Linked DNA regions of Arabidopsis thaliana. The protein of the gene in region 1 interacts with the protein of each later gene in a biochemical or structural test. Each region holds a gene or a part of one and is shown in the gene's direction. Other genes may lie near its edges. The genes, in order: HB-1 and TBP2.

Region 1 (4,715 bases):
CAAAAACTAGTCAAGGTTTTCCTCTATAAGAAATTAGGGCTAAGTTGAGAAATTAATGAAAACAATATACATTCAATTATAAGCTATACGTGTACCTATCAAAGATTATTTTCTAAAAAAACATTTCGAGATCATAGGATTTAAGGAGTCAACTTACTAGTTATCTAATGACAATTTAAGATATTATATATGTAGAATTAGAGCTTGTGAATTGTGATAATAGAAAAAAAATTGGAATCTATTTAGAAGACAGAGAGGTTTAAATTTGGAATTGGGTTACATATCAATCATATAATGATTATGAATTTTATTCTCTCTTTTATTTGTGTGTGTGTGTAAGTCTGTAAGATTGTTATCTTTTGGGGATAAGTGAAAAAAAAAAACTCATTCGTAGAACGGCAAATTTCTTTTTATCTTTTAATTTTTCTTCAGTACGTACTACTACTATTTTATTTTATTTTTAAATCAAATGTTTTTTTACCTCTTTTATTCTTATATGGATGCTGAAAGATATTCCTTTATTGGAAAGGTCCATAGATATCCAACTGGCTAACACATGGAATGAAAGGAGACAATATCATAATTAAGCATATTTTCACATCTGTATATCTTATATATAAAACATCATTCTTATTAATATATTTACCGTTGAATCGAAAAATAGGAATACGAGGATTTTGAATAATTAACTGCAGCGGAAGAAATACGGTGGAATGAGGAAGTGTTATGCACAAAAATGTTATATTATGATGGTTAAGTAATTTAGGAAATTCTTATAACTAAAGTGTAATTATTAATATTTAGAGGCCAATCATATTTAGTTATATGTACGTATATCATGGATGACAGTTTGTTACCGATCTCATATTGCATTAATCTAGCTATCAAATTAAAGTGGAATGCTTTTTCTTGATCAACAATATATACATATCCATAGTATGTGTGTAAGCATATATTGATAAAGTCGTATAAAGATGCATACCCATGTATGTATTGTGTACTAATATATAAAGAGTATTTGCAGTTTGGGTAGCTGAAGAGTCATGAAGAAATGAAAAACGAACAAGGAATATTTTTATAAAATAAATTTATGAATGCCGTATATCACTGAAAACATGATCATGAAAATGGTAACTGAGAAAATAGCTGAATGTGTAAGAAAAACAAAAAAAAAAGACAGGACGAAGCTACGTGGGGACTTGTGTAAACAACATGATAAGTTAATATAACTAAATTAGTGCGGCGATAAGCAATTCCATGCACCTGGTCTGTTTTCTTTTTCTCCGTAAGGTGACATGAAATCGATATTCACCAAATTTTGGTTGTATACTAGTATATTTTTTTTTCATAAATAGCAATAGTAAAACAAAGTTACTAACCATATAAATGTGATTTTTAAAGAGTAATTTTGCTGTAACAGTCACGCAATACGTATAATTTGAAATTAATATTGTGTGCAAAGACGTCAAGGTGCATTAAAATAAGAAACAAATACTAAAAGATAGGAATGACGTGAATTTGATTTTAATGAATTTTTTAATGACATGGTGATACAGTGACAGGGCTGTGCAAAATAGGAAGTAACAGGATGAGGAGGACCGTTAGATGAATGAGGATCAAGCGTAGATCCGACACTGACCCGACCGTCGAGTATGCAACCCTATTTAACACACTCTGGCCGAACCACCACAGCTGAATAAAACTATTTTTTTTAATAATAATAAATAACTTTAGAGAAAAGGTATAATTCAAATCCAACGGATGAGATCTGTTTCCAAGTCCACTCGCTAAAGAAAGTGGACCCCAGAGAGCTCAGAAAAGTCCACTTCCGATTTGTAAACAAGCCAATCACTTTCGATTTACCACAATTGCCCCTTTTCAAGATTTCGTTGAAAAACTTTTGTTAGTTTTTAAGTAGTACTTATTATATAAGAAAATAAGTAAATTCAACCATCATGTCATTTTTAAAATTTTTAAGCAAAGTACGATTTCTTACATATTTGATAGAAATTTGTAGCCTAGTTATTCTCGATAGTATTTGCTCTTCTGTGACACACTACACAAATATTTAATCCAGTTGATTGCAAAGTGTGAGATGTAGGAAAAAAAAGAGAGGGTATAAGAGTCATTTAACGAGGATTGCTGGTTGGTATAAAAGACGGCGCTTGTTGAAGGAAATGAGTTTAGCTGAGACGCTCACATTGCAAAAACAAAACCAACAAGGAACTTGTCTCTCTCTCTGGCTCTCTTTCTCTTAACGTGATCATAACGTGATTCGAAAATTGGATATAGATAGGTTTCTTGTTGGATCTTGATCCCTCTGGAAAAGGAGGGGAGAATAGCAGTTCATGATGGGATTTTGTATCTGCCCGTTGGAGTCACCTGCGAGATTACTATGGAGTACAAGCTTCTTCCGCCATAAGATCATGATCTTCTAATCCTTCCTACTTCTTCCCATCTTTTTAATCATCTTCTCGCTATCTCTGCTTCCTCTTTCTCTCTGTTTCCTCTTTCTCAGAACTCAGAAGTAGTTGTTGTTTTATTTCTGTTGATCAAAAATGGAATCCAATTCGTTTTTCTTCGATCCATCTGCTTCACACGGCAACAGCATGTTCTTCCTTGGGAATCTCAATCCCGTCGTCCAAGGTTCTTTTCTCACTCTCTTAATCTTATTTCATCATCTTGGAACACATTACTTTTCGGTGAATTTCCCCTGTTTTTGTGTATAAAACGTTAGGAACACACATACACACACATGAGAACCAATTTGAATATGAATACCTCATTCGATTATTGACAGCAGTTGTTCGTTTGAATTTGTGAAGGAGGAGGAGCAAGATCGATGATGAACATGGAGGAAACTTCGAAGCGAAGGCCCTTCTTTAGCTCCCCTGAGGATCTCTACGACGATGACTTTTACGACGACCAGTTGCCTGAAAAGAAGCGTCGCCTCACTACCGAACAAGTAGATTCTCTCACTATCCACAATAATAATTAACGATCCACTATTCAAAAACAAGTTTGATAGATTCTCATTATATTATGGTAAAAGGTGCATCTGCTGGAGAAAAGCTTCGAGACAGAGAACAAGCTAGAGCCTGAACGCAAGACTCAGCTTGCCAAGAAGCTTGGTCTACAGCCAAGGCAAGTGGCTGTCTGGTTTCAGAATCGCCGAGCTCGTTGGAAAACAAAACAGCTTGAGAGAGACTACGATCTTCTCAAGTCCACTTACGACCAACTTCTTTCTAACTACGACTCCATCGTCATGGACAACGATAAGCTCAGATCCGAGGTACTTATACATGGGACTATTATTTATCTCAACAAGATTACAAATTGAATGATTTACCTTAATTGGTCCAAAGGAGAAAAATAAAAAAAGCATCAAGTGAAAAGAGAATATGCTTTTCCTATTTTTCAACACAAGCTGATAGAGAGAATCCATCATCATATATATATAAATTAGAGGAGAGACTAGAAAAAGAAAGAAAATTGGGGAATCAAATCAATCAACGAGTTTAATTATCTTTTTATGGGAGGAGGTTGCTTGTGTTGACCGTTGTGATTAAAGTTAGAATCTTTCCAACCCGACAGGTTACTTCCCTGACCGAAAAGCTTCAGGGCAAACAAGAGACAGCTAATGAACCACCTGGTCAAGTGCCCGAACCAAACCAACTTGATCCGGTTTACATTAATGCGGCAGCAATCAAAACCGAGGACCGGTTAAGTTCAGGGAGCGTTGGGAGCGCGGTACTAGACGACGACGCACCTCAACTACTAGACAGCTGTGACTCTTACTTCCCAAGCATCGTACCCATCCAAGACAACAGCAACGCCAGTGATCATGACAATGACCGGAGCTGTTTCGCCGACGTCTTTGTGCCCACCACTTCACCGTCGCACGATCATCACGGTGAATCATTGGCTTTCTGGGGATGGCCTTAGAAAACCACTCTGATAATAAATGTGTGTTTATTTAAGTTCAAGAGTCATCTTCTTGTTGTTTCCATGTTGACGATAATTGTTGACTCGTGGAATAATTCCGCTGTTCAACGGTATTTTTATCAGTTGCATTATATGCTTTTATGAAATCAAGTCAATGCAGTGTTCTGATTTGAAGTTAAAAAGATTGATCTTCTTCAGAAAGCCTCTCTAGAGAGAAAGAGAGAGATTATAAAGAATAATTGAAGTTTCCGTTCTAACATCAGCTAATGTCTAAAAAGCGACTTTGATACTAATTAATTCCACACTAGTTAGTCTTCTACATATATGTGTACACATACTTTCCTTGGCTCATCCACCTGTTGAACCTCCATTCCAAGAAAAAGATCTAAACAGGACTTAGGCCTCTTATGATGATGAACCACCAAAACGGATCTCAACATCCGGAACTTACAGGTCCGGTTCCAGATAGATTGAAACATTGCCTATATCTACCACATACACATTGGCTCCACTTTTGACTATACCGGAATAATAAATCCATATTTCCGGTTCACATTCTCCCTGGCTGGGCTCACGAGGTTTTCTTTTTCCCGTGGGTTTAATAATTAACTAGGATCCCTCGGGTTCTTTCCTTTTCTTGCCAGATCTTCTAACTCTGCTGCTTCTTTCTTGAGAATCCGAAACCGGCTGTGACTTTTGGTCCGGTAAGCTGATGATCGGCTTTGTTTCATCGATAGGATTTGATGGAGTTATGGGTTTATCATAAATGA
Region 2 (5,427 bases), on another chromosome or scaffold:
CAAAACGAGGTACAGACCGAGAACAATGAAGACGATGGAGAAAATGATTTGGATTGGCAGCTTCAAGAGATTCTCAGGAGAAGGAGAAGACATTCCGCTGCTGTTTTGCAGTTGCTTCAGGGGATACGAGCAGGGTTGTCTGTAGAATCTGAGAGTACTGGTAATGGAGGTAATAATCCGGGACGGGTGATCTTGATCAATACCTCCAATCAGACTATCACGGTTCAAAACTCTGCTGATATGGATTCTGTACCTGCTGGTTCTTTAGGTGACTATTTCATTGGTCCTGGATTTGAAATGTTGCTTCAACGTCTAGCTGAGAATGATCCCAACAGATATGGAACACCTCCTGCTAAAAAAGAAGCTGTCGAGGCTTTGGCTACTGTGAAAATCGAAGAGACTCTGCAATGTTCGGTTTGTTTAGATGATTTTGAGATTGGAACTGAGGCAAAGCTGATGCCCTGTACGCACAAGTTTCATAGTGACTGCTTGTTACCATGGCTTGAGCTTCACAGTTCATGCCCGGTTTGCAGATATCAGTTACCTGCAGATGAAGCCAAGACTGATTCAGTAACAACAACGAGCGATAACAATGGAAGCAGTAGTGCTTCTGCTACAACCAGCCATGGAGCTGAGAACAGCGATGGAAACCGGCGCCAAGAAGAAGAAGAAGAAGAAGAAGAGGAGGAGGAGGAGGAGAACGAGAACAATGACGGAAGCGGATTCTCGATCCCGTGGCCGTTTAGCACCTTGTTCTCCTCGTCGCAAGATAGCAATGCACCAACGGATTCTAGTTAAGACATGTTCCCTGAGCAACATAAGCTTTTTGGTGTGATCATGAAATCTCGGTTCTACCTAAATCTGATCTTTTGTCTGTACATAAGTTTCTCAGATTTGGTTGAATGCTACATCTTTGGAAAACAAATATCTTTCAGTTTGTGTTTTTTTAATTGTTTTTGAGCAAATCTTTTGCCGGATTCTGTAAGTCGCTTGTGTGTTTTTTGTTGTCAACCAAAGCCACTTTTGCAACTTAGTTTGTTAAATTAATGCCTTAATGGTAAAATAACAAGATTGGTGGCTGTAGTACGAATTGTGTTGGTAATAAATTATAAATTTAAACATAAAAAGTAATTTAACATTCATCACCTTTGTTGTATGAAATGGAATTGTATAATATTGTATGCCTAATTACTTAGACCGACTCGTTTAATATGTCGTCATCCAAAACAAAATATGATGTCTTTTACTAAACTTAATGAAGTGATGCTTTTTCCTTGTGTTAATCCATGATTGCATTACCATGTAATCTTTTGTTTACGCGTAAACATTAATTAGAATTTATAAAAGCTAGAGTTCACATGTGTAAAATGCGACCAAAGTTACCAACTTTATGCGCTATTAACGAACCTTTTGACATTAACGAACTTAACTTTGATATAGTATATATACTAATATATTAACGTTTCACCAAATCTCCTTGTATATATATAAGTATTGTAGTATCAACTTATTACATTATCTCTCAGATTAGTCATAATCCAAAAGAAGAAGTAATGAATCGTCAGGTTTTATCCCTAATCACTTTGATTATTCTCTTGGTCTCCGCGTACAACACGACTATGGGCCGAACTCTGCCGAGTAAGTGACCGTCTTTGATCATACAAATACAATCACGCATAAACAAAACTCATATTCAGTTCTTAATCTCTTTTTTTATTATTATTATAAATTAAGGGGAAGGAAATGGAGCACAACAATTTGATAATCTAAAAGCTGGTGTCAGACGAAGTGAATCGGCACGTACTCGTCAGAAAGGACCCGGACACTGATGAGTGATGATCTCTAACAAGTTTTAGTTGGCACCTTCATGCAATAATTGATAATCTACTGCTTTGTAATAAGTCCGTCGTTGTGGCGATTCATAGTCTCTACTCGATTCATATTTGTGAACGTGTCTTGAGTTATAGTCTTACATATAGATCCAACAAAAAAACGTATGCTAACACATTCTGTAATAGAACACGTGGCAGACAAAGAGTGGACGGTTCCCTAAAATTCCAGTAAAGACCGTAACATTAAAATCTAATAAGCTGAATTCCCATAATTACCCTCATCCGACAAAGAGAGGCAAGGGTAGTTTAGGAAAGTATATAGAGGTAATAACGTGTCCTTAAGCTCCACAGATCCAAAGCGCAGATCACAAATCTCATCCCCAGAGAGAGAACCCAGAGAGCGATATTGAAAATCAAAACTCTCTCCTTTATATATAATCCCAATTTACAAATCTCTTTCCCTCTCTAAAAATTTCTTATCTTTGTATAAAAAGCCTTCTCCTTTTTCAAATCATTCACCTTCCTTTCGCCTTTTCGGGGGAATTTCTTCCAATCTGTTGGGTTTACGAAACCCTAGATTTCGAAATTCCGGATTGCTAACTAGCGAAAGGTCTGATTTTGTTTCGTACCCTTTGTTCCTAATGGATTCAATTCCACGGATTTTATCTGAATTGAGTTTCTTCGTAGTTGCTTGTTACGAATTGGATCTCATGTTCTGAAGTTGTGTGTTTCATAGCTTTTCGTTGTTTGATTGTGAAACAATGTTTCTAGATTTCAATTATCAAAACTGGTTTTTAGATAACCAGATTTGGTCAATGAAATTGTAAAGCTTGAAAACAATTTTGTTTCGTGGATGCTTGTTGGTTTGGATCGACATGAGTTTCTGTTTTGCCCTATTTAAGACGAGATTTATAGCTGATGTGTGTGTGTTTACGTTGATTCTTATGTTAGAGAATGGCTGATCAAGGAACGGAAGGGAGCCAGCCAGTTGACCTTACTAAACATCCTTCAGGGATTGTTCCTACTCTTCAGTGAGTTCTCTCTTTTGTGTCTCTGTTTTAAGATTCTGAGTTTGTGCTTTTGTGAATCACAAGATCTTACCTTTTTCTTTTTTGGTTTGTTTCAGAAATATTGTCTCAACAGTGAACTTAGACTGCAAGCTTGATCTTAAAGCCATAGCTTTGCAAGCTAGGAATGCTGAATATAACCCCAAGGTTTTGCTTTCTTTGTGATATTCGTGTTTTAGTAATCGATCATTTTGTTTGGTCTCCACCACTTTGGTTTGTATTTTCGGATTTGGTTTTAATCTGTGTTTTATGTTCCAGCGTTTCGCTGCTGTAATCATGAGGATCAGAGAGCCAAAGACCACAGCGTTAATTTTTGCTTCTGGGAAAATGGTATGTTTTCCTTTGTCACTTTTTCTCTTATGGCCTAATCTTCCATGTCCTTGTTTTGACGTGGCATCTATGCTGTCCAATATTAGGTGTGTACCGGAGCTAAAAGTGAACATCTTTCAAAGCTTGCTGCAAGAAAGGTAAACTAGCTCATCTCAATACTGTCTGATGTTCTTCTTCTAGCATCACTGTAGTTAGAAACTTGTTACAGCTCTAGTAGGTATTTGTTCTCTGTTATATTAAAGAATTCCTTTTTGTTGTTCAGTATGCTCGGATTGTTCAAAAGCTTGGCTTTCCTGCAAAGTTCAAGGTACTCATATGTCTCTCTCTGGTCCTGATCCAGCACACACTGTGTTATTCATTTTTATCTCAATCAACAATTCGTGTGTATTTTTATCGGAAGGAAAAATTACGTATAAAGTCTAGTAATAAAATTGCTGATTACATTTTGCAGGATTTTAAGATACAGAACATTGTAGGCTCATGTGATGTCAAATTCCCCATTAGGCTTGAAGGTCTTGCATACTCTCATAGTGCTTTCTCAAGTGTAAGTGATCTCAAGCATTGTGATCATATATACTTGTAACATGGGTGTTAATCGGTCTGATGATTCATACCTCTCTCATCATTGATGCCAGTACGAGCCTGAGCTATTTCCAGGATTGATATATAGGATGAAACTTCCAAAGATTGTACTGCTTATTTTTGTGTCAGGAAAGATTGTTATAACTGGAGCCAAGGTAATAATTGAACTTCTCTCAAATGATTAAAATTGTTTCCATGAAAATGCTTCTGTCATCTTATGAAATCCCGAATCAGATGAGAGAAGAGACTTATACCGCATTTGAGAATATCTACCCAGTTCTTAGAGAATTCAGGAAGGTCCAGCAATAATAGTATGTAAGTTCAACTTTCTTTATCTCCATTTACATTTTATACCCCTTAATCAATCAACAGTTTGATTATGACTATTTCGATTCGAAAGCAGAGCCTACCATATTGAAGGCAAAAACCATGTTCACGTTTGGATTGCCATGAACTAGAGATCTCGGGTGTTGGCAGGCGCTTGGTGGGGTTATATTCCTTGGACAAGAACTTGAAATGATTCAGATTCAAAACCAGAAATTGTAAATAGAGAATGGAGATGCCAATAAATCTCTTTTCTTTTTGTTCTAAAAATGTCTTCCAAGTAATCTTGTTTCATGTTCTGTTTGTTTCAGTGAACAATACCCAATCATTAAAGAGTTACTTAGTTCTTTGCTAACTGTTCTGTAATAAGACACCAAGTCTGTTTGCCCTTTAATATACTCTTTCAAGCAATTTGCCGCTCTGGTTTGTCAAATGTTTGGATCATAAGCTTTCATCTTTCAGTAGATAATAATCTTCGTACACATTAAGTGAGATAGTCCTATTATAACATGTTTTCGTTATCTTGAAATTCATTAAAGTTAATCGGTAGTGTTACATTAGACGAATTGATAACAAAGACATGCGATTACATTAGTCCTAGTGTAAACAGTAAACTACAGATAGTACGGCTAGTAATTCACAGTCGATTTGATTGCATCCAATATCTGCATCAAGCAAGAACACATGATATGTTAGAAACTGCGTTTTGGGTCGGAATAGAGGAATGATAAGAGAAGAGGAACTTGCCTTGTTCTTGGTGGGCATGTAGAATGGTTCAAACACAAGAGGAAATGGAGTATCCAGACCACAAACTCTGCTTACTGGAGCTTCTAACTGCATTTTAAATGACAGTTAAGAAACGGAGAACCAATAAAGAGTAGTCACTTGTAACGGTGATGATTTGAGCTTTCTTTTTACTAACCTTCAAAAAGCAACGTTCCAGAATTGTTGCAGAGATCTCTGCTCCAAAACCTCCTGTTACAGGAGCTTCATGGCTTATCTGCAACCCCAAGCACAAGCAAAAGCAATCTATAAGATCGACCAGACAAATCAAAATCCGAAGTTGTCAATCAAGATTGCTTAAATCTTACAAGAAGTCTGCCAGTCTTTTTAACTGAAGCCTCAACGGTTTCTTTGTCCCAAGGAAGCAGTGTCTTGAGATCTATCAGTTCACATGATATTCCTTCCTGCATCAACTCAAGACCTTAGTTAATATTACTGCGAACCATTCATCATTGAGTTGAAAGATAAAGCTATAAACCTTTTCCGCGTCCAGACAAGCTTGTTCCATA

What was found.
Region 2: the proteins of HB-1 (region 1) and TBP2 form a complex in vitro, tested with the Arabidopsis thaliana proteins (one study listed by BioGRID).

Annotation. Positions count from the first base shown.
Region 1 is NC_003074.8:181,878-186,592, reverse strand, and holds HB-1 (homeobox 1), read left to right. Parts: upstream 1-2,189; 5' UTR 2,190-2,558; coding exon 2,559-2,646; intron 2,647-2,692; coding exon of another isoform or gene 2,693-2,713; intron 2,714-2,825; coding exon 2,826-2,965; coding exon of another isoform or gene 2,966-2,978; intron 2,979-3,052; coding exon 3,053-3,292; coding exon of another isoform or gene 3,293-3,304; exon of another isoform or gene 3,305-3,594; coding exon 3,595-3,945; 3' UTR 3,946-4,197; downstream 4,198-4,715. Other genes in the region: AT3G01475 (uncharacterized protein), read right to left, coding at 2,693-2,713, 2,852-2,978, 3,138-3,304; MBD9 (methyl-CPG-binding domain 9), read right to left, coding at 4,555-4,715.
Region 2 is NC_003070.9:20,724,843-20,730,269, reverse strand, and holds TBP2 (TATA binding protein 2), read left to right. Parts: upstream 1-2,178; 5' UTR 2,179-2,442; intron 2,443-2,783; 5' UTR 2,784-2,786; coding exon 2,787-2,863; intron 2,864-2,958; coding exon 2,959-3,046; intron 3,047-3,157; coding exon 3,158-3,229; intron 3,230-3,315; coding exon 3,316-3,366; intron 3,367-3,491; coding exon 3,492-3,536; intron 3,537-3,680; coding exon 3,681-3,773; intron 3,774-3,864; coding exon 3,865-3,966; coding exon of another isoform or gene 3,967-3,996; exon of another isoform or gene 3,997-4,045; coding exon 4,046-4,120; 3' UTR 4,121-4,126; exon of another isoform or gene 4,127-4,214; 3' UTR 4,215-4,764; downstream 4,765-5,427. Other genes in the region: AT1G55530 (RING/U-box superfamily protein), read left to right, coding at 1-798; BCDH BETA1 (branched-chain alpha-keto acid decarboxylase E1 beta subunit), read right to left, coding at 4,765-4,800, 4,883-4,969, 5,058-5,135, 5,227-5,322, 5,397-5,427. UniProt on the Arabidopsis thaliana protein: General transcription factor (GTF) that functions at the core of the DNA-binding multiprotein factor TFIID.